3 linked regions of the Lytechinus pictus genome follow. The protein of the gene in region 2 purifies or fractionates together with the protein of the main gene of each other region. This does not show direct contact. Links are inferred from orthologs where the notes say so. Each region holds a gene or a part of one and is shown on either strand. Other genes may lie near its edges. The genes, in order: mitogen-activated protein kinase kinase kinase 1-like, axin-1-like and low-density lipoprotein receptor-related protein 6-like.

Region 1 (11,348 bases), on a different chromosome or scaffold from region 2:
CAATGACTAATAGGAAGTAGTACAAGAAACTTATAACTTCAAATAAAGAGGAAATCCCCAAGTGAAGTGTAAATCCTTTGGTTAATAGCAAAATTTGAAGTTAATTTGCATTCAGTTGCAAATTAACTTTCTTGAAACCTTCAATTTCAATTCATTGGGGCTTTACTGTGTTCATGATTCTCAGTTGAACATGGAGGTTTCTTGGAATGCCTCATACAAAATGTCATCAGTTTTACCACATAGAATATTGTACTCATATAATACAAACCTTTCCATGTTTCCGGATGAGCTGCCTGTTCTTCAAATTAACATAATCATACACAAAGAGACTTTTATCCTCCATCATTTTTTTTGTCAGGTTAGTCCATTTTTAAACACGCTATTAACTGATGAGGGTGATCCATTTTTCTAGACGAGGACATCACCCAGTTCTTCATTTCTCAGCCAGGATGTGGCATCTTTTTGCCATAAAGTTTACCGGAGGAAGGAATGTTCAGTCCTGAGATGACAAGCCTGACTGCCTGTGAATGTGAAGGGGGAAAAATAAATTTTTATCATAGACCTAATTTCAAATTTGGAGACTATGATATATCCTAGACAGAGGTTGGTTAGCTAATTAGGAGTATTACATCTTTTACAAAATTAAAAATCAAAGTGAAAATTAAAAAAAACCCTTCTTCCTCCACTAAATTCTGTAGATGTAGGCCTAGTTTTTCTTGTAGGATGGGGGGTCGGGTGTCCGGACACTTTATATTTTTGAAGCCTTCTTTTTTGTCTTAAGATTACACTAAAAATATGAATTCAATAGTTGTAATCATCTTCTATTTTGTTCTCTATAATATTTTCTAACATTTTGTACTAAAAATTGATGAAACTTCGCTTGTAATTTTTTCCAAATGACTTTCTAAAATTGATCGTCCGGACACACAACCTGTCCGGACACACAACAACTGCGTATACAGTTGGTTTGGTAGTCTATGTAACGTTAAGTAGATGTCTAGTGCAATGTGAAATGTCAAATGAGATGTCAAAATAATAAAAAATATCATCACGAAGTCCTCACTCAAGGCCAAGGCAAGGCTAAGTAAGTAGAGCCTGCACAGACATCACTTGAGGTAGGCCTAGGATCTATCAACGTACACTACACCCATGTGAAAGTAAAGTGTCTGATCAGATTCATACATTTATCGACAACCTAGGCCTATGGTTTGTTAGTTTAAACTAAAATTGTTTACATGTTTTAGTGTTAACTTAAAAAGTGTTGCACTTCAGAGGCTGGCCTGTAACCTACCTTACTCGTTTAAGTTTAACTTATTGCAGACTTTGAAAGTTAGATCAGATAATCCACCATCATGATCAATACAAAATAGACAAGGAATCATCCATGACTTCCAGAATTCCATCCATTTTTTTATTGCCAAGTTTCTTCTCACGTCACTCAGTTGCAGTTGTGCTTGCTAGCATAGGTACCGGTACCGACGGGCTGGCCGTTTTGAACTTTGACCAGGGAGGGTTGTGTGGGTACGGTAGCTATTCTTCCATTGTCATTGAACAATCTACAGACTGTACTACGCAACACAATAGAGGATTCTTAACTCGACAAGCACCGGTATATTTACGGAGACAGTCGCGCACAGATATCCGCTGGAATCCGGAAGCGAGCTTTGTTGTTGTCACGTCAACGCCAAGCCGCACAGGTGGATGTACAGCGCCATGTTGCACCCGTTAATTTGAGTATCGCAGGGCGATTTCATTCATAATAATAGGGGTGTACTTTTACTTTGCGAAAGAAAGTCGAATACTCGTAATGTCGACAGATGGGGAGGGGGGGGGGGGGTAGTTTAGTTTAGTTTAGTTTACTCCAACGATGTTGTAGGACTAAGCATCGATCAAAGTTGAATGTCTAAATGCTGCTCTCCTTCAGACAAGAAAATTAAATGCACTACTTGTGTTATATTGGCAGGGAGGGTGGCAGGGGTATCGTGGACAGCAACAAATTCTATGAAAAACACAAAATCGAAAATCACAAATTCTAGTAACTTTGTAATAAATGTTAAAGGGGAATCCAGCCTTGACCATAAAATGTTGTGTTGGGAAGGAGAAAAATAAATTAAACAGAATGGTGAAAGTTTGAAAGAAATCGGACAAGCAATAAGAAAGTTATAGCTGCTTTAAAATTGAGATCACTAATAGTATGTAGATTTCAAATTGGCATCTGGGTAAGTAAATTATGACAAGGGGCAAGGACAACTTTCCCATAGGCCATGTACTTTATTATCAGGGATTTGTGGTTTTTCTCCTATAAGTACCCATTCCCCTGGGGCAGTAATCTAAATATAACCCAGGTAGTATATTGTTTTATGTCCTCATGAAAGAAAAATATAATTTGAAATAAAACTTTTGGGAAAAATGACATTTTAGCCATAATATGTATTGGAGTACATAGAAGAGTAGTCCTTGCCTTACATCACTATGACATCCCATATGCGGCCAATTTGAAGTCTCCATGGGTGTAGTGATTACCAATATTTACAACTTTTAAAATTTTATAACTTTCTTGTTGTTTGTCCAATATTGTTCAAACTTTCACCTTTCAACTTTGGGTTGGATTCCCCTTTAAAATGAAAGTACTTATTAAAGGGGAGTCCAACCCAAATAAAATCTTTAATAAGGAAAAGAAAAATCAGACAAGTTGATAGGTCAAAGTTTGAACAATATTGGACAAACAACAAGAAAGTTATGAAATTTTAACAGTTGTAAATATTGGTAATCACTATACCCATTGAGACTTCAAATTGGCCGCATATGGGATGTCATAGTGATGTAAGGCAAGGACTACTCTTCCATGTACTCCAATACATATTTTGGCTAAAATTTCATTTTTCCCAAAAGTTTTATTTCAAATTATATTTTTCTTTCATGAGGACATAAAACAATATACTACCTGGGTTATATTTAGATTACTGCCCCAGGGGAATGGGTACTTAGGAGAAAACCACAAATCCCTGATAATAAAGTACATGGCCTATGCGAAAGTTGTCCTTGCCCCTTGTCATAATTTACTTACCCAGTTGCCCTGAAATCTACATAGTATTAGTGATCTCAATTTTAAAGCAGCTATAACTTTCTTATTGCTTGTCCGATTTCTTTCAAACTTTCACCATTCTGTTCACTTTATTTTTCTCCTTCCCAACACAACATTTTATGGCCAAGGCTGGATTCCCCTTTAACTTCCAGAATTTTTTTGGGGAGGGTTACTTGTAGTAGGATAAGCAATTTCATGAAATCTGGTGCAAAACTTTGATTATATAGAAAGTCGAAGTTTTGCTCATATTTTAAGAAACAGGGACCCATGTACGGTCATGGTCATACGCATATTTTGTTCCCAGGGGGCAAGAAGCATATTTTTTTAAGAAGCTTGTCATGGGGTGTTTTGGCATTTCCTAGAGTACAATTGAGATCATGTGAATGTAAGTTTTCAAAATTTCTTGGGGACAACTGCCCCCTCGCTGTGTATGACATGCCCTTGACTATGGCGCATTTGCCATAATGGCAACTTTCAACCTTCAATCTTCATAATGGCAACTTTCAATCTGGCTAAATTTTGTAAAATAATTATGCTTCGCTTCTGATAGAGTAATCAAAGAATAGAAGTATTCATTTATTTCGTTTTATTTGTCTTTTAATAATTTATCTTGATTACTATAGATATAGATACATATGTATTATTATTTTGATAAACTGTTTAATTTTTGTATTTAGTTTGCTGCTGGTGCCTTTGTACGCATCATGTTTTACTTTTTTTTCTGTTAATTCTAAAATTTAGTAATTCAAGAAATAATTTATTTATATCTTATTATAATATGTTATCATAATATTTCAGTGAAATATGTGGGTTTCTTGTTTGTATTTTTTGTTTATATATATTTTATGTAAATATGTTTAAAATTCAAATGTTAATATGTTTCAAATCTTGTAGTGTTCTCCAATACCCGTTGGGGTGATCTGAGAATAAATATTACTGTCATTACTGTCATACGGTACACCTGGCTCAGCAGCCAATCAGAATCAAGAATTCCTACTGTTGGTAAGCTATGAGCCCCAGTCCCGGGCCCCAGTCTATTTCTTCTGTTCAGTTGAAATTAAATCTTTCAAGATTTATAGAATTGATATTAAAAATGAATTCTCCCCCAACAAGAGAATATATGAAATCATGAATTAGTTGTCTCTCAGTGTCCCTTATTTTCACGTATAGTAGGTATGTATATTTATAACCGACATCACACACAAACACATAGGCCCGTATTCTGAACTCAGGTTTGAATGAAACCCTGGTTTAAAGTTGAGGTTTAACTATGGAGAGCCAATTCGGGCACAAATCCCTATCAGCACACATCCAATTTATTAACTCATTTGACACTCATATTATCCATAATTGTCTGTGAATGATATCTGAAGTACTTTCCGTCATTATAAAAGCAAACGAAACCAAAATAGTAAACAAGAAGAAATATTATAAACAGGATTTGTATATTTGTGGCATCCCATAATTTTAGTACAGAGATAGACCGTGGTCTAAGTTAAAACCGATTTCAGAATACGGGCCATGGTGCCGAAAGATGGGATTTTTGATTTGATTTGATTTATTTTTCTTCTGCATTCATCATTCGTATACAATACAATTTTCATTACGTAACAAACATAATATATCGGTCATTGATTTTGGTATGAATCATAAAGAAAAAAATATAAAATAAAAAAGTCATTCTAAACACCAACAAAGAAAATTTAACATTTACAGTTTGCAAGAGAAGGATTGCCATTATAAGCAGATTGCTTGAAAAAAATGACAACACCAAGTCAGTCTTGGGGCACTTCGCCCCCTTAAAAAGGCACGGCCAAGAAGAAAACTAAATGAGGAGAAAAGGAAATACAAGGGAAATGGGCTCTGAATTATGTCAAACTCAATCGAAAAATCAAACAAAAGGTCAGCATTTTCTCTCGCTCGTGACTTTTTCAGATTAGAATTTTCTGCCCGCTCAAAATTATTTATGCCCAGGACTATTTTACACAATCCTGAGATTCGCTCGGAGATCAAGAACAATTTGGAGTTATATAGAATTAAATTTGCTTTATTAATGGAATGTGATCGAGCATTTATCCACATTGGATGAAATTTTGTTTAAAGAAATCAAGATAATAGACCTATATGCCCTCTTTATGGAACATTGACCCATTTACATATCTAATTAATTCACATTTTATTTCATTTCTTGGGGTTAATTTATTATGGCTAAATTGCCCCCCGGCCCCGAATCTCCTATACTTCATACTGCATATAATAAAGAAAAATATATATCTTAACTTGAGCTCAAGTCCTGCCCCACCAGTGAGTTGAATAGCCAACCAGGGGCGGATCCAGGATTTTCCAAGGGGGGGGGGGCACATTTTCCCGAGGAAAATTTGACAAGCTAAAAAATGAATTAAAAAGGGTCCTTGCTTTTAATGGCTGGGGGCACACTTTTGTTAGAACGGCATATTTGTATAAAAAAAAAAAAACATTATCCCTCTCTCAAGGGGGCGGGGGGCACGGCCGGATGTGTCCCCTGGATCCGCCAGTGTATACAGCCAACGATATGACATTTAAATTTTCATGATAATCGGATGTAAAAATAAAATGAAATATGGCATTTTAACATAAATTGGTATACAATGCTGAGTCGATGATCAGGCCAGGGCCCCGGGAACGATTTTGAAAGAAGGGGGGGGGGGGGTAGTTTTGAAAAAAAAATGACAAGCCAACTTTCGTTCCAAAATGAAGCTGATTTCGGTCAGAAAAAAATTACAAGCAAAAAGTAAGAGAGTTTCGTTTCAAAAAGGTGATTTTTTAATCAAAATTATGGATTTTATTTTTCCCAACCTGGTGTCCAGCCAGGTTGCTGCCTATGCTGAACAATATTCCCAGGGCTATGCCGATGATCACACACTTACACTATTTGTTGTATTCCTTTGAAATACCTTTTATTTCACTTTTTATTCATTAAAAGTTAAGATATGAGATTATCATGATTCAGGGCAAAAGGGCTTCTTTGCTATCAAACCTCAGTTAAAAAAAAGAACTTTGATATTTATTTGGATATATGGATTATTCACAGGGAGCGACTGACAAAAAGTAGAAAATAACGAAAAAGAGGGAGAAAGGCCCGGGGCCGGAATTATGCAGTCTATGCCGTGTCTGCAAATGAAAAAAAGTGGCGTCACTTTAAAATCGCTTGCCAAAGATCCCCGACCGAAATATCCTGCCGCCATCTCCGAGTGTTTGGCATAATCAGTTCCATCTCTTTTCCAACGTATGCATATCTCTATTGTGAAATTTATATTGTCTTTCTTTCTTCATTTTACTAAACCTTCATCTTTGTTAGCCCCCGATTTAGCCGTTAACATGTATCGGGCATGTATCACATCTTCTCTATCCACCGCATATAACATTCATGCAAAATAGTCGGCAATAGTCTTCGAGCTGTTTGCTGAAATATTTATTGAATTATTGATTATTGTAATTTTGCCATGAGTCACCGCGACACCCCTCCCAATTTGGCTTTCAGTGGGGTGCGCACTATTACCACCCCTTTGCTCGATTTGGAGTTTTCCACCAACAAAAATACCCCGATGATGTCATACACGCTGCTATTGTTATGGGAAATATTCCCGGCGGTAGCATCGCGCTGGCAAGCTGACTCTATGCGTAGGCGGCACAAGAGACTTGGACTTTGTTACTGGGTAAACTCCTTGGTAATATTCTCACCACAAAACGATTGATGCAGAAATTTGGTTTGAACAATGCAAAGTCTGACTGAGTATATTGTTATTGTGCTGGCGGGGTCATGAAACCACGTGAATTTTCAGCGCGAAAACTAGAAAAGGATTAAGAAATCTGACTGAGTTTTGAGTTGGACAGGTGGTTTCAGGATTGTTTTTACTTTATTTATGTACATATCCGATCGATTTTTCGAAGTAAATTTGAATACACTGAAGACTGGGTAACGGTACAATCTGCTGTGAGATTTATTATAGAAATGATTCGTTTCTCATCGTGAACCGTTCCTCAAAATTGGATTTATACCATGGAAAAAACAGGAGAACAAAGACCTCACAAATCGCGATCAAAACGTGGCGAATCTGGAGCTGAAAGTACGCGGGAACGAGAAGGCTCAAGTTCTGGATCGGGGGCCATTCGCAAGTCTCGCCGAAGGTCGGGGGAGCGATCACGTTCTCGCAATAGGAGGAGGAGTGGAAGCTCGGGTTCTCAGAAATCACCGACTGATGATGGGGGCTCTGTCGCCAAACATCTCCCGGGAAACTCTACTTCAGTTGAGCCTAAACAAAATGGGTAATTGTTTTTTTTTTTCACTTGATAAACTTGTAAATTGATATTTCTTATAATAAATATATAAATATAAATGTTTTTTTCATTATAAATATCTGGACAGTCATTATTTGCACGTAACAACACAGTTTACAATTATAGGAAATTCACCATTATTCTACATGTATGTACCGGTAATATAATTTATTAACTAAGAAATTCATACTCTTATTCTACAATTTTTTATAACAACAACAACAATAATTTGTAAAATATGCTTCAATGAAAATCTTAATCAAATACTTATTAACTTCAAGGTAGGTTTTATTAATTTAAGGTTTTAATTTTATTTTCAAGTGTAGGCCTAGTACAATACAGCTGAAGAGTATAATTCCAAAGAGCTCTCAGTCATGGAGTGGGCTGAAAATATATATTTTTCTTTGTACTTGGGGGAAGTGGAACTGAAGTTATTGGTTTAATTGTTATGTATTGTGTTGTTTGGATCCAAAGATGCCCCGCCCCCTCAAAGAACAAAGCATGTGTTCTCAAGACAGACCTTATTGAAGCCTGATTGTTACCCCCACCCCATACTGTTCAGTTAGACTGATAACCTAACTAAAGGTCAGACCTAATCAGTAAATGTTTTTGTTTGTTTGTGTGTTTGTGACAGTGTTGTGCTCATGTAGGTCAGAGCATGATACCTTCCCCCCACTCCCCTAAAAAAAGGAGTTTAAATGTATACTCTTATGGGGCAGTTTGTCTTCTGTTCAACAATCACAATCATTTCTTGTGATACTGATCTTGTAAACAAGTCTTTGATACCTTGGTCACATTTATTCTACAGCGGCCGTACGGCCAGTCGAGAACAGCCGTTTTAACATTTTTGTCCTACTATATATAGGTGGTTTGAATTAAATTTAATAAAACGGCTGTTTTCTACTCGCTGTACGGCCGCCGTAGAGCAAATGTGACCAAGGTATAAATCACCAATTTATTCCAGCTCAGTATCAAGTTTCTGACAAGAGTATTTGTTATGCAAATGCTCCTTGTATTGAGTTCATTGAAGACATGGTCTATAAACAGGTCACCTTTGTTTGTTAATCTCTCTGAATTAAGTACTCCCTTTTCCCCATTCAGCCCAACAACAATGATAAAACTGTTTCTATGTTGAAGTAGAAAGATTGTCTGGGCCTTTTTGTTTTCTTGGCAGTTGTATCTGGTGATATTTTTAGTTTTCAAAATAAAATATACATGTATTGTTTGATTATTACAGTACATGTTCATTGTACAAATTTGTCCCTCTTTGGCTTGTGATATCCTTTGTGTGAAAAATTCTTTTAACTTTCATTAGACTGTTTTCTTATCTGGTCATGTGTCATGAGGTCGCGTACTTTTGCTTTTGCACCGCCTTAAACTTGAAAGTCTCTCTCCCCTATCCTATATTTTCTGAAAGGATATTGCTCAATGAACCAAAATAAGCACTCAGAATTAGCATTTTATGTCAGGCATAAGTGTTGTGTTGAATAGAAAAAGATTAATAATTATTTTAACCTCATACATGTAATTGTGATCATAATACTTTGTATCAGACCCCCTTTGACCAATATAATCATATTTATGTACAGTACAGAGTCAGATCTTCCTAACAATGTTTAATTTTAATATTAGGTTTATGGTCAAGAAATTGCTTCAAAATCAACAACAAAATAAAGAAAGAAATGTACATGTACGTAATGTGTGTGCTATTTTGCCTGCATTACCATTGCATGGTGGGTATATCTGCTGTGTTCATCTGATTTAAGGTATAGAATGATTTTTAAAAATCTGCACGTATTGTTGGACTGAATTTCTGACAATTTGACCTTAGATCTATAACAAAACTTTCATCCTACAGATTAGTTAACTAGTACAGAATAGTAGAAATCACATTTTCTGGTTTTTACACAAAAACTACATTTAAATTAAGAATAACTAAAGAAAATATGTGCCAATATGGATGAATTGTGAAAAGTGAACAATTTGGACAATTTTTTTATTTCTTTTTCATTTCAATGTTTTTTACCTTGTTTTTTTTTAAATGACAATGACATTGCCAAACTTATTTTTCAATCAATGAACAGTAAAACAAGAATGCTCTAGCTTTAATATGATACCAGATTTGTTGTTGGAAGTTAAGTTTTCACAAAAATATTAACGTTTTACCCAAAATAGCACAAAATATTGAGAATCCCCATTGAGTTTGTACAGGTGGCACCTCTTTTGGCACCGCCCCTGGTGCTTTGTCATTTTAAAGACTATGTACTGTAACTCAAGTTCTGTTTATCTGAGAGCAATGAAACTTTCTAGAATATTAGCCAATGAATTCAGCTTCAAAATGATACCAAACTTGTTGGCATAGCACCTTTGGTTTTGAAAATATCAATGAATATTAACTCAAGAAATGAACCAAAAATATGTAAACAGCACCACCTTTTTGATGGGCAACCTACATTACATGTCTGACACATGGCCATTTTCAAAATTAAATTAAAAATGTTAACTCTATTTTTCTCTGTTGGATATTTGTCAAACCATTACCAGTACCAACAATTTTCTATATATTTTTTCTTTCTCTTCAAATGAACATACATGTACATGTATCAAGGTGAATTTTCTCTTTAACTCATTACAAATAAATGAAATGGCCCAAGAAACTGGAAATAGGCATATATAGGCTACATGTTGGCTCAACTTGTACAAAAATTAGAACAGGGAGATAGAGAGAAAAAAAAACTTTGTTTGCCATCTGATCATCCCAAAATAATTCAAATTTTTATAATAATTATTTACAGTTTGCTTGATCTAGGAGGTTTATCTCCCTGCCTGTTCAAGTTCAACACAGGTGTTTTACAACTAATTATTTGACTATTCAAAAGATGCATTTCCTACTTAACCTGAACATTCCTGCACAAAAGGTAAACAAAACAGTGATGTGTCATTCAACGGCTGAGATCAAAGTACATTCAATCCCCAGTAGACACCCACAATCCTGCTACTGTCAGGTGAAACTCACATGCTCCAGTGATTTTGTAGGCCTAAATCCACAGCTGCGGTACAACTCATTTGAGGTAGTTTGAGGTACATGTATTACGGTATACAGGATAATTTGCGGTTGGATTTTAGATCAGTACACTTGGGCTTTCCATAACAGCTGATGACATATTCATTCTGTGACGTACTTGTACAGTTATGAGTAAAGTTTAGGCCAATGATAGCTTACACACAGGAAAAGTGTCAGTTGTGTTGGGACAGTTGGTGTACTAATGTATTAGTAGTACTTTACGGAAGAGAACTGAACTTTTTCTATGTGAAAATCTTTGTACATAATTTGCACTTGAGGAACCATAAATTTGGATTTATTCTTGTTCCAGTGTTGGTAAGTTACTGTTGGTAAGTTACTGTGTAAATGGATATTTGGTTTAGGTTAGAGTTGAATTCTGTATAATTCTTGGATTATTAGAGAATGGTTTAGGCCAAATAGTGTTTGTGTTGTTGGTTGTGTACATAAATTTTGATAGACCTGCATCTTTGTACGTAATATCTAGTGATTGCAATTGCATGGGAGCCAATTGAGATTGCAATGTTGTAGTATCATTAATCAATATTAATATACATGTAGGTCTAGATTGTGAATTTTTAAGATGACTTTAGGATCATATTCTTGTACATATGTATAACATGTACTAGTAGTAGATGATTTTAATACTAGATGAATAATATACATGATGTAGGCCTACATGCAGGCCTACATCATGTAGACTATGCTGTACATGTACTGTAGGCTTTATTGCAATGTACAGTATCTATCGTCATACTGGCAGAATGAGAGACATACTTTGAAAGCCAGTATTTGCATGTATAGGTACAAAAACACTGTAATGTACTACCGCAGTACTTTTAACTGTAACATGCATGAAAGTCATTAGTGCATAAATGATACCTG
Region 2 (10,556 bases):
TGATATCGTTCCAGTGATCGCATTTTCAATGTTAAACATTTTCATGTTAAGCAGGGCTTGCTGGGCAAACAGTTTTTGGAAATTGTGGTTACTCTGGGTAAATATGAGGTTATTATTATTATCTTTATGATTTGACTTGTAAATTGTTTATATTTGAGAGAATGAGTTCAAGGAGAGAGAACGAACTGTGATATTGTGCAACGAGGAAACCCATAGTAACGTAAGTCTTTAAAGCTGGTTAATTGTCAAGGTCTTTGACACTGAAATTCTTATGAATTCGAAATTAAGACTTTTTCCTAGAGTAATATGGTGCAAGAATAAAAGGGTTTAATCTAATGTTTGATCTACAAGGGTGATTCCATGCTAGAAAAATTAGTCATTTTCACAAATTCTTCTAAACCGCTGTCCAAACAAACAAGGAACTTCAATTTGTTTTGTGGTAATAACAAAGTTCTACATGGTACATGTAGTCTTGTGAAAAAATAACAACCCCCCCCCAAAAAAAAAAATCTTTCCATGGGTGCATAAGAGGTGAAAATATCGCTTGTCGTACTGGACGCAGAGATGTCCTGTACAGGTTGTTGTTGTTGTTTGTTGGATATTAATGGCGACCAGTCATATTTGACTATTACCGCCAACTCGTTAGGCCTACTATTATTTTCTATTTCTGGGTTCCAAGCTTTGCCAAAAAACAAAATTCTGTGGTTTGTCCCTGATGAACTTTAAAACTTCCCTGATAATTATTTAAACCCATTCCCAGTTTTGCATGTTTTCTATTTAAAGTTGTTGCAGTGAATAACATGTATTTTCAGAATATATTTAACAAATTCCCTGATTTTTCCGACTGGAAAAAGAGTAAAATAATTTTCCCTGATGGGCTGGGAATCCTGCTGTATGACATGCAATATTTTCACCTCTTATTCACCAATAAAAACAAATCACTAGCTCAACTTTATCATTGCCATAAAAAAAAAAAATTATTGATCAAGCATTCAGTTTAAAGACTACATATCGTTCTCTAAATGTCCCATATGACACAAATGGAATCGCCACAACAATGGAATGCCATTCAGAACAACTTTATAAATTGACACGTTCCACAACAAAGTCACTGGCTCACTGCATAATTATCCCTGCTCAATTTGTAGATACATGTAATAAGGTAAATTTGACTACACCAGATCAAAAACCACTTTGTGACAATACAATGAATTCATTATTACGAGTATTTTAATTAGCAGATAATGACCTATTTAAAATTAGGTAACATAATTTAACTCTTACAATGCACTTGAGATCTTGCATTAATATAAAAATATGTTAGGGGGTGAATTGATTTCCTCAATGAACAAGATTGGTCAGATGGAGATCATTCATAAAAACATGATCCTCTGCCTCAACGGCATGGTCCCCCATGGAACACTTTTTTTATAATAATGATCAGTGAACACACAACTTCAATTCATTCAAATTCAAATCAAGGTGCCACTACTACTAATACTAGGCATTTATGCTGTAATTGTGTCTAATACTTTAGTACATACTCCAGAGTCTACTGAGGAGACCTAAACCTACACAAAATACATGCTCTCTCGATCTCTATTGTGCGGATACACAAGATGCAGCTCGAAGATCGGCGCTACAAAAAATAGCGCCCACCACGCATTGACTGTGTACCACGGCACGACGTCCAGGGTTATGCGAAGAACAAATCGAACCTCACTGTTTTACCAGTTATTCTCAAATTCTGTTTACGCTTTATTTATGATCCACTTGTGTGATAATCCAAGATAGTAGATATCCGTGAAATCCAGTTTGGGCAGAGTTTTCTTGAATTATGGTCCAGACTTCAGCTACAGAAAGTAACGCCAACGGCCATGCAGATGGAGCCAGCGTAACGTAGTCTCGCTCTATGCATCCATGGTCCAAATAAGCGCCCCGAGAAAGCCACGGGACGGGAGTGCGATGTGTGGTGCATGCCGGACCGTCCAATCCAACTCCAAGTTAAACGTGTTTTGATGCAACATATCGTTACACGATATTTAAAGGAAATGAAAAGGTAATTTTGAGTTTTAGCCTAAAATTCCTCAATATGATTAAACTTGCACACTTTCCTTACCTTCTAATCATTGGAATGAAATATTATGTTCACCGCTGATCAGATTCGATGCAAGCAAACCGTTCGTACGCTAGGCATGGCGAAACTGGGCATAAAATGGCAAGTCACTTTGGATGCTCATGCTGCATACACACACACGTACACACACAAACAGGGCCTAGGAAGTTCTCAGTGTTGCAAAGTGCATGAAACATCAAAGCACATGCCCGCCGCCCGAAAAGCTCCCAAAGGGCAGTGACGTACACACAAACGACAAGCCGCACCAATCAGAATGCAATTCATTAAGTTGCCTGGACCACTTCCACTAGGAAATAGAGGGGTGTTCACCAAATCGTAAATAGATAAGGTATAGATAATATTCAAAGCACGTTGCGTTACGCAACACAGAAAACTCCAATAAGATAAATAGCGATGTGATAAACTGTATCGGCTGAACAGGCAAACTATCGTAATAAAACTTCAATAGAAGACAAAACTCATCTAAAAGTCTAAAAGTTTGCTCTTGTAACATAACAGGTCACACTGTCATTGTAGCGTGAGAAATGATTAGATTTTTCTTCTCCTAACCCTGGCTCTTTTCCTTCTTTATCTCTGAACCTGGCAGAAATGTTGATTTACACGGATGCATGGGATTTTATCAGTGTTCTAATACATCATACATCTAGGAATATCTCTTCTCGTATATTCAACAAACATCATGACATCCCTTTAAAATAGTTTGGATTAGAGGTTTCAAAATACCGTCACCCTCTTGTAAAAAGTCTGTTGAAATTAAATTAAGTTTGGTTCTTAATTTTGTTTCTTTCCCTGGCCTTCCTTCCTGCACTGATGACATGGTCCATCGCTTTTATTTACAATGAAAACTAGGAGAGCGGCGTCGTATAAATGCACAGTCGAGATTTATTCAGGCAGTAAAAATTCACTGGCTACAATTGTGATGACTCGCCGTCGTTTTTTATTTGTATTTTATTTTTACAACCTGGACTCTCCTGGCTTTATTCCTCGCCTGGAATTTACAGGGCGTTCATTCTATGACTCTTGGCATTCAATTGTGATTGTGATAAGTGTGGTATACAGGAATACCAAATATGAATATTAAAAGGGGGGATAACATCATTTGTAATCAAGTTTCTGACATATTCATGTGGCCTATATTATGCTGAAGCAAAATAAAATGAGGCCCAATATAGATATACTTGACATTTCTGAAATTATACGATAGCGATAAAACAGGCAAACATTTTCAAATATTCAGACATTATCATAATCACAAACATTTGGGGTCCTTTCCCCATCACCAGTTGGTCAAGATATATGACTAAAAAAAAGGCTCTATGGAGAATTTTCTTTAGTTTCTTTCTTTGAAAAGGTAGTCCTTACACTATTTAAAGCATATTAGCAAGCAAGGAAAGCAACTAAACTTATCACAAAGACTCTATTTATTTTTTCAAGTTGAAAAGAGAGTATTTATCTTACGGCATTTTTTCTGGAAATTTGCAATAAGAGGATTTTAGAAGTCCCTGCGCATCGACACACCCTCCCTCCCTTCACCAAAAATGGAACGAAGCTTCATTTTTTAAGCTGGAATCGACACCGATATTAACAATTACAACACTTTTAAAAGAACATCATTTAGATAATAAGAGCGTTCAATCCATGAGTGGAAATAAAAATAGATAAATAAATGAATGAATAAATTTAATAAAAAAAATCAAAATAACAAAAATATCCATAGCATATATAGGTCTCTTGGTATAAAGATAATTTTTTCAATGGGGTGACTTCATGATGTTTTAAGAGAAACAATGTTTGAAAAAAGTGTTGAATTTATGGGAAAACCTCAAAAGTCACCGCTCTCTTCCTCTAGGCCAAATAGCCTAATTTATAGATATATGCCTACATAATGAAATATATATAGCATATATATAGCATATATATAGCAGTCGTGAACAATACAATCATTTGAGTGTACCACAAATTATATACCAATTAAATGAGGTTTAACAATAAATGCAATAGCCTATCCGCAAGTATTTCAAGCACTGGTATACGGGTGTGATACGGGGGGGGGGGGGTAGGTGAAAGAAAATACATCACCTTTCAATCATAAATTAAGATTTTTTTATTAAAAAGTTAAAAAAAAATCACTCGATTGGCACGCTCATATATTGTTTGGAAAATATGCCACGTCTGGCCTCTCTTTTTTCTTTTCTTTTTCTTCTCATTTCGCCACTTTTTTTCAAGGGAAGTCGATCAAGCAAAAAATAATGGTCCTATATTTTAATAAATCAAAATATTAAACTATCATTAACAAAAATAAATCGCCAGAAACAACGAGGTATACCGGTGGCAAAAGGAAACAACATATTTGGTTAATATGACTTTACCTGATTTCGTCACTGACTCATTTAAAACGGTGACATAAAGGGTCTACCGTCTAGCTATAGATGTTCAATTCCTGTGTTCAGATTCATATACTCGACCGGTAGGTCTATAGTAAATAATTTGTTTCTTACAAATAATTCTCAGACGATTAATTTTTGAAGAAAGAAATAGAATCTCTAGATCGCTGTTCTCCTCCTAAGCCAATGAATAAGCAGGAATGAAGTCGGAAGGCGAATCGTCTATCACAAACGATGGCATGAATATTACAGGGAGGGGGGATACTGGGGATGTACAATAAGTTGAACCGCGGAACTGTTAGTGCGGGGATACCGAAGCGAGAATACCGCCTTCATTACTCCGCTCTTTACGGGTGTTAATGATTTATCGCGAGCAATAAAAATAAGCCGACTCTCTGTGATCTATGCCGACACGAAGCCCTGCCAATTCAACGTATCGCCTCCATATATACCGCAGCATTCAACGTTCTGCTTCTATTGTTCATCTCTTCACATCTTCCCCTCTATTCTCCTTCCCCTCAGATCTATCAATATTCATCCTCTTCTCGCTTCCTCTTTCTATCTGTCTGCCTGTCTTTCTCTCCCTTTCCCTCCCCATCTATCTATCTTTCTATCTATCTATACCAACCAACCTACCTACCTACCTATCTATCTATCTATCTATCTATCTATCTATCTATCTATCTATCTATCTATCTATCTATCTATCTATCTATCTATCTATCTATCTATCTATCTATCTATCTATCTATCTATCTATCTATCTATCTATCTATCTATCTATCTATCTATCTATCTATCTATCTATCTATCTATCTATCTCTATCTCTATCTCTATCTCTATCTCTATCTCTATCTATGTCTGTCTGTCTATCTATCTATCTATCTATCTATCTATCTATCTATCTATCTATATCTATCTATCTATCTATCTTTTTATCTATCTATCTATCTATCTATCTATCTCTATCTATCTATCTATCTATCTATCTGTCTGTCGATCTATCTATCTATCTGTCTACCTACCTACCTATATCTATCTATACCAACCTACCTATCTATCTATCTATATCTATCTATATCTATCTCTATCTATCTATCTATCTATCTATCTATCTATCTATCTATCTATCTATCTATCTATCTATCTATCTATCTATCTATCTATCTATCTATCTATCTATCTATCTATCTATCTATCTATCTATCTGTCTGTCTGTCTGTCTGTCTGTCTATCTATCTATCTATCTATTTATCTATCTATCTATACCTTCCAACCTACCTACCTATATACCTTTCTCGGGCTATCCCCTTTGTTTTATATGGACCTATGCATAGGTCCATGGTTTACTCATCTCGTTTTTATAAACGTTATGAATAAATATGTTTTTATTGATTGTCTCCTGACGCGCTTCGTACTTTCTCTGCCCTCTCTCTCTATTTAAAAAAAATATATTTACCCCTCCCCCTTTCTCCTTCCTCATCAAATATTTCTCTCTTTCACCTAACCTTCACCCGCCTCTTATCCGTCCGCCCAACTATTCTTTCTGTCTCTCTTATTCGATCTGTTCAGCTTCCAACAAAAGGAGGGAATGTATTGTTATCTCGTCTTTACATGATTTCAGCCGAGTGTAAACACATTGTCCCATATTTTATTGGAATGTAGAGCATACACCATAAAGTCCTGCCATGATCGGTCCATATCCTACCAATTACTGTCATGAGTTCGTCTTGTTGTAAACTGGAAAAAAATAATGCCAATCCACAGGCCTAGATCTGAGGTTCGCAAATATTTCATGAACCCTCCCGCTTCTGGTTGTAGTACATTTTAATTCAGCTTTTATTATCTGGTTTAGAACCATTTGTGGATTTCGATGATTATAACATTTGAAATCGAAAATATTTCCATTTTAGTGAGAGATGTGCATGGCTTTGAACGTTGGAAGCTAAAACAATCAAGGGCTCGCAATTTTGGAAGATTACATCATTATCTAAAACTAATCTCAATCATCATCGCAGAAATACGCTGATTAAAGTGATAAAAGCTATATAACTGACTGGAACTGAATTAATGTTTATTAATTTCCAGCCAAGTATACAATGAAAGCACCCCCACGTTGATATCGGATGCAGCTAGGGTGAAAATGAGGGCCCCGAATGAAAAGTGGAAATGGGATATGTGCCTAATGACTGGTAATTACTAGTATATTGTTCACAACGGTCTTGGGAGAAATAAGCCCTTGCATGAATTCGGATTTGAAAAGGCCCGAAAACGGCAACTCATCCCTGCCCACCCCAACACTCACCCACACCCTCACATACACGAACATAACCTTACGGAGAATTGCATTTTGTTTATTTTTCCTTTGTCATGATACATTTTGATGTATAAATGACATTTTTGTCTTAATTGGGTACTCCAGGCTGAAAATAATTTGATTTGAGCAGATACAATAAAATCAGACAAAATTAATAAAACGCTCAACGATTTCATAGAAATCGGACAAGGTATAACAAAGTTATGGCATTTTTATTTTTGGCATTTTCATTTTTGACATTATTTCTGTAGAACAGTTTCTGTGCCTATCTTCATGATTATGCAATGGACAAGCTGATGATGTCATTATAATAATACAGGGGTAATAGTATATATGCAGCGCTTAGAAACCTTTGTATTAAGCGATATATAAATGTTGCATGTTATTATAATTCATATTATCATCCCCGCAAATTTTGTATTTGATTATAATTATGAAATTATATCGTATTTCAATTTTGTCATCCAAGTATTTTAAAAAAATGATTGACTGTTGATGCAATGTGTAAGATAATAATTGCTACGACTTATTTTGTTGCAAGGGAGACATTGTGATATGAAATAATCGCTATTAGATTTTTGTGGAATTTTTAGTGCTTTGCTCGTTTGATTTACTCTATTTGTGATTTTTATCATTCTTTTCAGCCCTGAGCATCACCTTTAATTTATAAGGGTTTGGTTATATCTAATATTACTTTGATTACGGGGGTCAACATTATCTGTAAATGTGTATAATAATAAATTTAGCCTAAATGATATGTATAAACAAACTATTGATAATTAGGTCTGTAAGTCAATGTCTACAGGGCTCTTTTGTAAAGCAGGCCTTTGGGCACCGAAGGATTACCTTGCATTTTTTAATAAAGCTGCATAAATAAATAAATATCATTTTTCATTTTTTCATTTCATTTATTTCATATTAAACACCTTACAGAATATTACCGAAAATTACAAAAGAAAGAAGAAATTGATTCGTGTACATATAAAGGAGATACAAGAGATAAACATACAACAAAATTGAAATACAATTGTAACTAATGTGACCATCAGGGCTAGTAAAAGCAGAGCTTATCGAGTCTAGCCCCGGCAGAAAAGGAGAAGGAAGGATAGGCCCACCCCGGCAGCAGAAGCGGACCAGTGATTCCATATCGGACACGAGGAGCCGCGACCAAGGATAAATAAACAAATAAATAAAAAAAAATAATAATAATAATGGTAAATAAATAAATAAATAATAAATAAATAAATAAATAAATAAATAGATGGATGGATGGATGGACGGACAGACGGACGGACGGACAGACAGACAGACACACAGACAGGCAGACACACAGACAGACAGACAGGCAGACAGATAGATAGATAGATAAATAGATAGATAGATGAATAAATAAATGACTAAACTGGACTGGATCGAATCCACCCCGGGCGGATAACTGAAGCCTGCGTTGTGTGTAACCCCCCCCCCCCTGTTCCTTACTCTCTAAATGCGAATGAACCAATCTCCCTAATCTCGATTCCTCTTCCCTTTGGAGTGAACTGTACATTCTTTTATAGTGCATTATGACACCTTTTGGAGTGCATGTGCCTCTTCTTGCACTTCACTCCAAAATGAGTTAAATGCACTCTAAAAAATGATGTACAGTTCACTCCAAAGGGATTGGCCCCAATTATCACTCCAAGAGGAGTGTGATTGGGGACTAAATATTTTTTTGCATTTAGAGAGTAGATGCAGGCTATGTTACAGTGGAAAACACTCCGTCCCTCGGATAGGACGTTAAATGGATGCCCCATGTAGGGAATAATACGAGTAGGGGGAAACCCCGGTGTATTGGACCACCTGCGCCCCCCCCCCCCCCCCATCATATCGGGTGGAGAGACCTGCGGATCATTGTGATTCAGTTTGCTTTGAAATCACATCCCAGGAACAGGTGACGCCAACCAAATAATAATAATAATAATAATAACAATAATAATGATAATAATAATAATAATGATAATAATTACAATAATAATAATGATAATAATATTAATAATAATAACAACAATAACAACAACAATAATGATGATAATATTCATTAATTATTCATTTTTATTTATTGGGTGAATTCAATGGCAATTCATCATTTGGGCTGCAATATTGAATAAAATGATCAACTTCTATCACACTTTTATGGAATGAAAGTTTTCAACTAATTCACCAAATCAAATTTATTCGAATCCTGTTGCAAATAGTAAACTTTTAAGCTCAAATCCAGCGTGTGACCATGGATATACTAACACACCCTATAGTGGTAATGGTGACGGTGGTAAAGGTAGTGGCGATGGTGATGGGTGCACTGGAGTCGTGATGGTGGTAGTGGAGGAGGTTGTGGTGGTGGGGTGGAGGTGGCGGCGGTTGTTGCTTTTCGTACTTATGAATATGAACACACATACCTGAACACTGCACTGATGTTTGAGTGTAAACGCCTCTTCCTGTTGGCGAACCCAGCATGATGATAACCAATCGGTCTTTTTGTGTGTGGTACAAGTTAATTCACTTTGCTTGACTGCCCTCTTCACTCGTGTTGTCAAGTGGCAGACTTTAATCCTTTTCTCCTTTCTGCGAATAATATAAGACCTTTTCTCTCTCAACTTATTTTTTTTATGAGATTCTTTTCATGCCCGATTCGCTGGCATTCCGTCATTGTGATCTTGTAAAAAGGAGCTCTGAAAAAATCTAACATGGACAGAGAAAAAATAGCAGAGGATGGGAGGCTAGAAAAAAGGGGGAAGAGGAAGGCAGGACCTTTTCAGAAGGTTTGTTCTAAAGAAAGAGCGCCGCACCGGTGATATCTCAATTATTCGAGCCTCGTGCGGACAATATGACTATATAGAATGAGGATAGAGGCTTTAGAAAAGGATCTCCAGAAAAGAGTCTTTGATAAGGTCCATCTCTTTTGTCTCCCTTTATCGCCTCTTCTTTTCCCGATTTCTAAGGAGCCCTTTTGATCTGAACTTACAAATGCGTATCAGGAGTATGTCGGTGTCAATTGTGTCTTTTAGCCGATTTCTCTCCATTTCTCCCTTTTGATTTTGTTTTTGTTTCTCTTGGTTGTTATTCACACTTTGAGAGAGATCAGAGTTTATTGTCCAACCAACGTCATCAGTATCTGTGATTAATACATCGTGTAGGTATTGTAAGTTCATCATACTTTATGGCAGGCAATAATCAGCTTTGTATAGTTATTGTTTTGTGCGTTACTTGTGAAGGGAATGCAAATGTCACCTTAATTCCAGCGAAGATTCATTACTAAAATAAATTATTAAATATTACTATTATTGTTGTGTGATTTTGTTATAATTTTTCTCATCATCATCAATAATAATAATAATGATGATAATGATAATGACAGGCGCGGATCCAGAGGGGCACGTGCCCCCCCCCCCCCCCCTTGAGAAGCAAAATTAAAAATTTGTCATGTAAAAATGGCATGAAAACAGAGGTGTGCCACCTCTTTTGAAATTAGAGCCTTTTTTTCTTGTCAAATTTTTTCGGGTACGAAATATCCTTTATATGTGGTTGAAGACCTTTTTTTTGCTTGTCAAAATTTTCCTACAAAAAATTTGCCCCCCCCCCCTTTGGAAAATCCTGGAATCCGCCCCTGGATGATGATGATGATGGTATTAATAATAATAATAATGATAATAAAAACAACAACATATAAAATTGGAAAAA
Region 3 (10,944 bases), on a different chromosome or scaffold from region 2:
ATGCGCTGCCGTCCATTTCAATATTTATGCCAGCCAAAAGACGTGGGTTATATTATGCGAGAGGAGATGAAGGATGAAGATTTGGGGGATGTATTTTCGACCAAGCTGCTTAAGTGTGTCTGTGTGGGGTATTGTGCGATTCTTTCATCATACATCATGTACTAGAATGCCATAAATTGCAAAGGCATGTTTATCATATCTCTGAGATATAAGTTGTTAGCTACACAAATATTGTGCATAATTTAGTGCTCCCTCCTACATGTATGTAGTATGATGTAGGCTTACATGTACATGGAGATACAGTACATCCATACATACTATTACATGTACATTTAATACACCCTACTTAAAACTTACTATACATTTTAACATTTATATTGCGCTTCTTGTAAACATGTTCAAAGGGCTTTGCTTATATAACATAATATTCAATGAATAATTCTACTCTCCACGTGCTTACAATATATTGGGTGGATGTTACAGAGAAAATAGTAGGTTTTCGCTTGTTTTGTTAATAATTGTACTGAAGGAAATTAGTTTTCGATGAGAATTTGTCACTCTTACATGTATTTATCCCTCCCATTATAATCTATAGTGAAGATGATTATGATAATTTTGTATGCTAATGAACCGCAACAACATCAACAGCAACTAATAATAATGATAATAATAATTGATTATGCAATTAAATCTAAACATGATGACCATGTTTGATTGATGATGATGATGATAATGAGGATGATAATGGTGATGATAATGAGGATGATAATGATGATGAGGATGATAATGGTGATGATGATGATGATGATGGTGATGATAATGATGATGGTGGTGGAAATGGTGATGATGAATGATGAAGGTGATGATGATGATGATGATAATATTGATAATGATGATAATGATGATGATAATGGCAATGATGATGATGATGATGACGAATGATGATGGTGATGATGATGGTGATGATGATGGTGGTGGTGATGATGATGATGATGAAGAATTCATGATAACGAAAATGATAATGGTGATGATGATGATAATGGTGATAATGATAATGGTCATGATAATGATGATGATGATGAATGATGAAGGTGATGATGATGGTGATTACAGTTGCTGCCGATTACCTGCTGATATAGGCCCTAGGCCTTAATAACTGAAAATTGAATGGTAGATTATATGTAGCAAAAGTAAAGAAGCATGGAGGTATAGTCTCCATGCATGAAGTGCTTACATGGCATTACAGATTTAGATGTACATTTATTATAATGGAATTAAACATGAATGTAAACATGTGTACACATGTAATCACCTTCACGTAATTGTTTCATTTCATTCTTCTACTCATCTCAACAGGGTGCTACATAACTTTTTAGAAGCGCTTGCCCGGTCGGGCAAGTAAATTTTTTAATAGTTGGAATATACTTGCCCAAAAATCTGTCAGTTGCACGAAAAAATCCTTGAAAATTTTTTACCTCTTCAAAAAAAAGTTTTGCGGTTTTATAAACCATTGACCTTTTTCTCTCTTTTGACATGAACTGATCTACCTTGTTATTGCATTTCTTTTTCCAAAGTGATTTTATCTTGCCTGTCATGACCAAAATTAGGGTCAATATCATATCGACCCTAATTTTGGTCATTCTACTGTGAGAATTTTGCTTTCTACTGTGTGAATTTTGCTTGCCCAATTCGGGCAAATAGTTTTGGTCTTTACTTCAAAACACTTGCCCGAATCTAAATTTTACTTGCCCCGGGCAATTGGGAAAGTGCTTATGTAGCACCCTGTCTCAGTATGCCAAAATTTAAATGCAATCTGAGAGGACACCATTTTCCAATTTCCATTCCAATATATACTTTTTAATAATGATTATCACTTTAAATTTTAACCATTTAGGCCTAATGCTTATAAATCAAAGCTACGGTATGTTTTTGTTTTACGAATTAGAGCATGGTCATTATCAATCACTTTTAATATAGGCCTTCGTATACATTTATATGAATTTTACCAAGGAGATATACATGTACTACATGTACATGTATGTGGAAACTTGTATCTCAGCTCCGTGATTTAACCATTGAATAGTTTTAAGGCATTAATTAGACAAGATGTATTTTTTTCTTCATTTTTTAGATCATGGTCAGTTGGTCATTATCAATCACTTAGGTAATTGAATCGCCATTATGGCTACATTATGACAAATTGTGTTATTATATATTTTTTAGAGGCAGCTGTAAACCAAAAAGATTTGACAAGATTTGGAAAGATCGTCTCGAGAGGGTTATTATAGCAATACCTTCCTTCCGTGGACATCGTATGAAATTAATTTGGCTTAATTTGGAGGAGTATCGTCTTACAGAGAAGCTCTGGGTAATTGATTGATTGCAAAGCATTTGAGCTGAGAAAATGGGAAGTCCATTCGTGAGGCCCCATTAGGCTTGCGTAATTGAGAAACATTCATCTTTGGTTGGAACCTTGTTTTATTGTTCGTTTTGACGAGTAGTTGTTTGGTTTCTGGCAGGAAATATTAGAATGACAGTATGATAAATGGGTTTGAATCCCTCTATTGCAGCAGTGATTTGCAAAAACAGTTACTTCATATTGATGTTTATTTTCATGATTCTCTTGATGACTCCTATTAATCATAAAGTCATGTTAAAATGATATTATTCATGGAAACTATCATGACTATTTCCATAGTTTTTTTTTCTCCTACTTTAACCTCAATTTTTAGTTCATGAAAAAAAATCTTGTTTTTTGTAATCATGCTTACAGTGTAAATGGCATTTGTAATTTCATGTATCCACAGATCTGTATCCTAGGAAAATAATTTTAATCTCTTTTGTGATTTTGAATATTTTCTCCTTTCTGCCAAAAAATTTGAATTCAGTTCATGCACTTAATTATTGCTTTTACTGGTACCCTCCTTAATAAATTTCAAAAAGAATATTTTAACACCTGTGACCTGTTTCCCCTTTTTTAATTTTATTTTTGTTTATATAAAAGCCACATTACTACATGTAGATGTAGATGTACAAGCCTATACATGATTATTGTGATATGATGAGTAATCTGAAAATTTGTCCATGGCACTATCAATTCCGCACCATGTGCACTATTTTGAAGAAAAAATCACCTCTTCTACATGTATGCTACTAGACTGTTCCCCCCCCCCCCCCCCGTTAACAATTTAAAACAGCTAGAAATGTGTTGATAATTTTGCATGCATGTGAGATGTACATGTAGGCCTACATCTATAGTACCTCCTGGGATACATGCATGTTCATACAGTAAGATAAATCCTCATGTACTCTATATGTATGGCCTAATAGGCCTATATAACATGTATACAATGCTATTTCCTCCGTATTCTGTGGAAGGCTATTGTTATGAGGTATTTTCTTGAGAAAAAAATGAAAGACTAAAGTCACTTCAAGCAGTGCACAGTAAGCCGTCCCCTTTTGAAAACCCTCCCTAATGAGCCAGGGCTATTTGGAGGTGTTCACTTGCCCCCCTCTTGGGACCAAGGGGGGCTATTCAGCACCCCTATACCCAGTAATCAGGCCCCCATTATGACCCCTGTATTGTTGTTGGGGAGAAGCCAGTCAAGATTTTGGGGCCTTACACTGAAGCACCATAGCCCACCAACACAAAACATGTTGAGATTGTGTGTGTGTATTGGGTCAGTATTCCAAAGCCATTGTGGTAAGGTGGACTCACTTTGTATACACACAAATACCACTGCATGGGGTGAAAAGCATCGAGTGGTGTGTGTGTGTATATGTGTGTGTGTATTGGAGGGCATTATCAAGTGCATGTGTGTGATTTGGTGGTATACAGTGAGTGGGTGCATCATGGAAAGATTGTTGGAAGAAAATAATGCTCTTGTGAGTTCTGTTCAGAAGGAGTTGATGTATTTATTTAGGTCAATAAATGGTTGACCCATTATGTTGGACAACCCTTCCATTGGTAGGGGGGGGGGGGTGAACAACTCAACCATTAGTATTATATGTAAAGGGGGAAATATTTGTTTACATGGAGCTTCGATTTGTAATAATTTAGAACTACAAACTCACTTTAAAGTTTAATATACATGGTAGTATATGGGTATGAGAACCAGGGATAAACATTTTTTTTTCAGCACATGCTGTGCCTGAGAAAAATATTATGCCCACATAGGTAGGCCTACATATTTATTTTGACCAGAACAAACTGTCATGTCAAATCAAAATACATCCACTATTAAAAAACCCCACTTTTTAAATTCCATATAGTTTTAAAGGGGAATAATATTGCTAACCCTCTTTTTTTCCAGGAGATTTACCGAAAGTTGTATTAAAGAGAGGCTGAAACCTCTATTTTTCGTTGCATACCATACTGCACTCTACATGTATGTTGGCCATTCATAATGCAAAACAAAATTATTAAAAATAAATAAATAACATTCAGTCATTTTGTGCATGCAACAGCACCGATCCTAATTATAGGCCTATCAATTGAGAAAATGAGTGTCATCATAGCAAACTTTTGCACTATTAAAGAGAAATTCCAGTAGTTGCAGTAAACACTGATTTCATGAGAAAGTCTGTAAAACCAGGCTTAATTGTCAGTATATCATCGAGGATCTAGATCTGGTACAGTTACATACATGTAAACTGAACTTTGTGAAATCTTGAAATCTACGCTGAAAAATGTTCAGACTGAACTTCCCCAACACAGATAAGCGCACGTGGGACTGTGTATAATTATTGCTTTGAGCGTCGGGCCCGACGCTCTACCCGAATCCTGTGCTTATTTGCTGATTTCTCAGCAATTACACAATTTCTTCCAGAATCCTTTGGCATATGCGTTTTATTTATACAAACAGACACTTTGGTGGTCATTTCATTGGATTCTGTACGAACTCATTTTGATATTGTTACCAAAACTAGCATTTACCTTTAAACATGCATTCAATTTTATGCATTGCAGTCATGTTCTGTTTCTCAAGAAATGAATACTTCAATAGTGATATTACGTTTATTCTAAGAAAATCTTCTGGAGTACATGTATTGCGGTGAATTCCAGTTGTATTCCTGCAGGCTGACATGTAATTGTACAAAGGAGTTTGTAATTGTGACCCGAGTGTGCTTTAATGCACTCAATACAATATTTTATAAAACAAATATTGTATTACTTTTATTTAGATAGAAGGGCCACATACACTGTATGTATGTAAATTATTTAAAAAATGATGACTTTCTGAGTTAACAGATGACATCCTCAGTTGCATCATGGAGCTATTCACACAAAATAGCTCCATGGTTGCATTGAATGGTTTTGGTTCATAACTTGGGAGTACAAGTTTTTTATATATATATTTGTATGGCAATGAGATAATAATAATAATAATAAGCAGTTCTTAGAGACACATAATACCATGTAAATAGTCTCTATGCGTGTAGAAGAATTATTGTTTTCTATAGGGCTAATACATGTATGTGTTTCTTAAAAAGATGTGTTTTTATTAAACACTGATTTGAATCTGTTGAAATTACATGTAATCACTGGCTTTGATGCAAAATTTGTGACCTATTAAAAACTGAAATTTTTTTTTCTTTGTTATTAAAATTTTTGTGACGTACATATGTGAAATTCCAAATTATTATTAATGCTAATTATAAGATGCTGACACTGAGTAGCCACAACCCTGAGTAGCCATACATGTATGCCTTCTTGTAGGCTTACATGTACATACTCAACTGGTATCATATTCTTTTTATGACAAACTGATTTTGTATGAATTTATGTTAACAAAAAATGAAGAAATTTGTGAAATGGAAGAAAATAAATGTTCATATGGAAAAAAATATTACGAACAAAAGAAACAAAGTTAAAATATATTCATTTGTTCTTTCCCCCTACCTTATCTACAGCAAATACACAACTCCTATTCGCAAACCGGCGCGATGTACAACTCCTCACCGTGCCCGCTTCCAACTTCTCACAGACGTCTTCCGTCACCGTCGTCGAGGGCCTCCAAGATGCCGCGGCCGTCGACTTCCTCTACTCGCAAAATCTCATATTCTGGACGGACGTTAGTTTGGAAGCAATCAAAAGAATGTTTATTAACGGCTCCGATGTCGTCGAGGACGTTATTACGACGGGGCTCGTCGCCCCGGATGGACTCGCCTGTGATTGGATGAGCCGAAAATTATATTGGACTGACGCTGATACAAACAGGATAGAAGTCAGTGAGATTGATGGGAAATCAAGAACTGTTTTATTTTGGAAGGATTTACATTTGCCGAGAGCAATAGCGTTAGATCCGGAACATGGGTAAGTGTTAAAAAGCTATCTTTGATTTGAATTGATTTGATTTTTTGTGTCACATTCCGAAATAGTGTATTATTCATCTGTAAGGTAGCATCTGTATAAAATAAAGGTAAGGTAGCACCATAAAAATACATGTCCATGTACATGTAGGTCTAAGGCCTATAAACATTAATTATATGGTGAATATTGACAATCATAATGTAGGATGGCAACCAGAATTTTTATTTTATAGTTCAAACAATATTTATCACTTCACCGTACAATCACTACAATGTACTATGTAGATTGTAAAAACTTGAAGATGACCCCATGGATCAGCTGTGTTGAGACGGTCCCTAATGCCCAGGCAGCATTTTCCATATTCCTCACACCAGGCTCCTCCATGGGGTACGGCCCTGACGTCCTGGAAAGACCGCTGGTTCCTGGATGGTAGGAAAAACACTTCCCAACTGGGGCCATGTCGGTCCACTCTGTGTAAAATAGATTGGATCTTTTACAGTAGGCCTACATGTATGTACAAATGTACTTCATGAGGGAAAGTTTAGTTCTCTTTTGACATTAAAAGAGTGTGCATAGGTGCCTGCTACCACTTGCACACTACAGTTTTGTTTTTACAAAGCTTTTGCACTTCCCAACTTGAATGATGTCCGTCTACCTTCTAGCCTACATGTACCTATTGGTAGGCCTACATGAACACTTGAAGAGGAGTAGGCCTAACAAAAAGTTTTGTAATGATAAAGTGAAAAGTCACAGGTTTGAAAAACTGTGAACCATTTAGAAAGCTGAAATATATAGGCCTATGTATTGTTATTCATGAATATAGCAAAATCTTCCGAATTTGTAGATCTAGATGTAAGCTGTAATCAGCAAGCAGTTAATGCTGTGGCCTGTGGGTGACAAGAACCACTCACAATCACAGAAATTGATGTACATGTACCAGACTACAAAGTATGCAAATGTTCAGAATTTTTCTTAGTTCAGATAATTTTTGTCATTGAATATTTGATTATTTGAATAGCAATCCTTTGCATCGTAAATCTCTTTATTACATGTATGTCTCCTAAAATGAACAAACATGAAAAGAACTTGAAAACTCACATTCATTGTTTTCACTTTTTTTCACAACAGTAAAGTTTCTCTTTAAGCTTTGGACACATCGTGGAGACAGTTCAGTAGTATTTTAACGACTTTATGACAACTAATTGCAAATTGTCCTTGGTGCTTAACTGGTCATTCAACCAAAGGGATGTCTTGTTGATTACCATTCAACTCAAAAGTTTTATGGTATTGTCCGAGCAATTGGTCACATAAAACTCCAGAGTGGCAAATACGAGATCTACTCAGTCTACTTTTAAAGGGAAATGCAAATATGCATTCAATTCAGTTCAGTTTTAGATTATAAAACAATTTTTTTGTAGTAGTTGAAAGACTTGTATCACTCAGTGTTTACATTTAAAAATTATATCCAGACCTAGATACTTTTTAATAGGCCTACATTTGAAATCATTATACATACCGTAGTCACCACATCATCCACATCTAGCTTTTTTTGTGTGTCAAATATACACAAGGAAAAGACAGAATGGTTAACGTTAAGAGATTAACCACTTCAAATTAGTTTTGAAAATATAACAATGATAGTGACGACACTATGATAGTGTCCATGAATACAAGAACCTGGAAATGTGCAAGTTTGTCAGATCTACATGTAGGAAATACTGTTTTCATAAAATATTGATAAGCTTTTATAACTTCAGCAACATTGCAACCATTTCTTCATCAGATCTTTCTAGAGACCTGTGCTATTTCTTGCGATCTATTCAAACTATTGCTGTTTTCAACAATGATGTATTAAACAGGCAATGATTATTATAAAAGCAAGTTTGATTCAAGCTTTTTAGGTCAAAAGAGAAAAGCTCTCAACTATTATCAAAGTTCTGTACAGTTGGTAAATATCTGCTACAGCGTCCATAAAAATAGTTTTTGTGTCGCAGTCTTTTATGTGGAGCAAATTGTGATGCGATACCAAGAAAATTATTCCTATTCATGTGCATAATAGGTAGACTAGATAGGCCTATTGCTCGAAACATATACAATCTTGGAGATGTATTGAACTGTATTTTACATACACGTACATCATTAAAAACTATAAAGCAATGGCTATAATTTTATAGGGCATTTTATACATGTAGGATTTGTGTAGTGCACATATCCGTCTTGTTACATTTAGGTGCTCAAGGCGCTCCTATACCCTGGCTATAAAGCTAGTCAACCGATTCCGGTGCTCACACTTTGATAGTTCCCAAAACTCTTGAAATAACAACCGTACATGTATGTATAATACCAAAATTTATGAAAAAAAAAAGCGACCATCAGATAATATTTACACCCATATTGGTCATTAGAAAGATCTGTTTAATTAGTGGACTGATAGGTCTTAGTTTTTACACAGAATGTGTACTGTAGGTCTAAGTATGCTCATTCAATATTCAAGATTCTTTTTACATGTAATTGGTCATTGTACGCATACAAAGAAATTTGGTTTCCAATGGCTTTAACAATGAAATATACACAAAGATGAAAATACACAACAGTATTGGAGAACTTTACATGGAGAACTTTACATGTACTCATTCCTTGGTAACACTTTGGTAACACTGTGCTGCAGGCCGCAGCACAGATCTGTCCATCTTGTGTGAAACTAGGCATAAAGGTGGCTTTGGTCTAATGGCTAGTGCCTGGAGGCAAGACTAGCATTGACCTTTGACCTTGAGTTTGTCTGCTGAGCCTGTCAATCAAGCATTATTAATCTGTCAACCTTTGTAATGTTGTTCTTGGCACATTCACTGTGCTCTCATTTTTTTATGTGCATGTCTTGACTTGGCGCTGTTCACACCCCTCACATACAGACACAATGTTCCACTGGCACGTTCACATCCCTCGCTTTAGATATAACGTTCCACTCCACGACGAGGCCTATATTATTCACTTTTCCTAATTTCCATCTTCGGCATTCAAATTCAAGGTTCAACTTTCACAAATTTGTATAGTGTTCACACCTTTATGTTCACATCAAATTTATACAAAAGCTTGCATTGAGTGTTTGCGCCTGATTTTTCTAGTTTCTACAATAGGCCTCCCCCTCCCCTGGAAATTTTAAGGGGTAGGGTAGCTGGTAGTAGAGCCTGTGTTGCACAATTTTTAAAAATACAGAATACAAAAAAAATCTTTTACCAAAGGGAGGGAGGATGGGGGGGTGGGGGGGGGGCAAGGTCATGATCACATGCATTGTACATTAATATGACTTTAATACTGGATCCAGCACATATTACATGTGTAGCTTCATAACTCCATGCCTGCATGATGATGTATTGTCAATATACTTGATTTAACTGTCTGAAAGGGTCAACGATCCTTCCAAACGAAGTGAACGTACCCCATAGTCCTTCACTCATTCTCCTGCTCCCATAACCTTCATAACTGTTGATGTATTTGTCATGCCAGGAATTCACGGGTGTCAAGCCTTATTCTCTCCCCTGTTCGTCACCTCTCATTCATTCCCCACCCCCTCCCCATCCCCTTCTTTCCACTAGGTGTATTCAGACAATGATTTTACTAGCCATTGGCTAGTAGTTGGGCCAGTGTTATTTTGAACCCTGTCCATATGTGTGTATTACAGTCAAAGGCCCGTATTCCGAAGTCAGGTTTAACTTTAATAGACCATGTACTCTGTGCTAAAATTATGGGAAGCCAATAGTGTCAAATTTTTTTTAAATTTCATATAAAGTTGTATGTTTCTTATGTTTACTGTGCTCTTTCCTGACTCAACGATGGTGAAGACAATCATCTATTTATACTTCCTAGACAATTATGAATGATTTGAGACCCAAATGAGCTGAAATATGATATCTCTAGTGCTGTTAGTGATTTATGTAACAATTGGCAATCCATAATAAACCACAACTTTAAACCTGAGTTTAAGTTAAACCTGAGATTAAAGTTAAACCTGACTTCAGAATACGGGCCACACAGTGTTGCATATATCTGAAAAGCATTCTGTGTTCCCATCAGTTATTTTCATTTCTGTTTGTACAGTAGGATTCATGAATTAGGCTTGACATCCCAAGTTCAAATTAATTTCATGAAATTGGTATGACGTCAGAAACACGTACACTTGTGTACATTGTATGGAAATTATTTCTGCAGTCAAGTACATGTTGAATACACATGTCTCCATGGCCTTGTCGTTTTTCCCGAATTGCCACGAACAATATGGGTGCAATTTTTTTTTAAAATATATTTTTTGTTAACTAATGAAATAATTATATAACCATGATGAGAAAGGCACACGTAGGCTTACTGTACACTTAAATGCAAATGACATACACTGTACATATGTTCTCATAGGACCCCATGGAAGGCCTGCATGAGGCCCACATTATCACATCTCCACTTTCCTCTCCCTAATAAATGTTCTCATCCACCCCCTATGTTCTCCTGAAACCTCTAACCAAATCATCTCTATCTTCCTTCCTTTTCAATGTTCTCCCGAAACCTCAAGGACCGCATCATCACATCTCCTCCTCCCCTCTCAGTAATAATGTTCTCCTGAAACCCTGAAGACAGCATCA

What was found.
Region 1: the proteins of axin-1-like (region 2) and mitogen-activated protein kinase kinase kinase 1-like purify together in Homo sapiens (affinity purification with western blotting; 5 studies listed by BioGRID and IntAct, with this or other methods). This does not show direct contact. The link is inferred for Lytechinus pictus from reciprocal best matches to the Homo sapiens genes AXIN1 and MAP3K1.
Region 3: the proteins of axin-1-like (region 2) and low-density lipoprotein receptor-related protein 6-like purify together in Homo sapiens (affinity purification with western blotting; 7 studies listed by BioGRID and IntAct, with this or other methods). This does not show direct contact. The link is inferred for Lytechinus pictus from reciprocal best matches to the Homo sapiens genes AXIN1 and LRP6.

What each region holds. Positions count from the first base shown.
Region 1 is NC_087255.1:28,648,323-28,659,670, reverse strand, and holds the start of mitogen-activated protein kinase kinase kinase 1-like, read left to right. Parts: upstream 1-6,735; 5' UTR 6,736-7,124; coding exon 7,125-7,390; intron 7,391-10,353; exon of another isoform or gene 10,354-10,781; intron 10,782-11,348. Other genes in the region: uncharacterized protein LOC129271131, read right to left, coding at 269-346. UniProt on the Homo sapiens protein: Component of a protein kinase signal transduction cascade. Activates the ERK and JNK kinase pathways by phosphorylation of MAP2K1 and MAP2K4. May phosphorylate the MAPK8/JNK1 kinase.
Region 2 is NC_087254.1:17,709,639-17,720,194, reverse strand, and holds the start of axin-1-like, read right to left. Parts: upstream 4,873-10,556; 5' UTR 4,507-4,872; intron 2,356-4,506; exon of another isoform or gene 2,120-2,355; intron 1,975-2,119; exon of another isoform or gene 1,576-1,974; intron 1-1,575. UniProt on the Homo sapiens protein: Component of the beta-catenin destruction complex required for regulating CTNNB1 levels through phosphorylation and ubiquitination, and modulating Wnt-signaling.
Region 3 is NC_087253.1:23,195,991-23,206,934, forward strand, and holds the start of low-density lipoprotein receptor-related protein 6-like, read left to right. Parts: upstream 1-5,918; 5' UTR 5,919-6,098; coding exon 6,099-6,316; intron 6,317-10,944. UniProt on the Homo sapiens protein: Component of the Wnt-Fzd-LRP5-LRP6 complex that triggers beta-catenin signaling through inducing aggregation of receptor-ligand complexes into ribosome-sized signalosomes.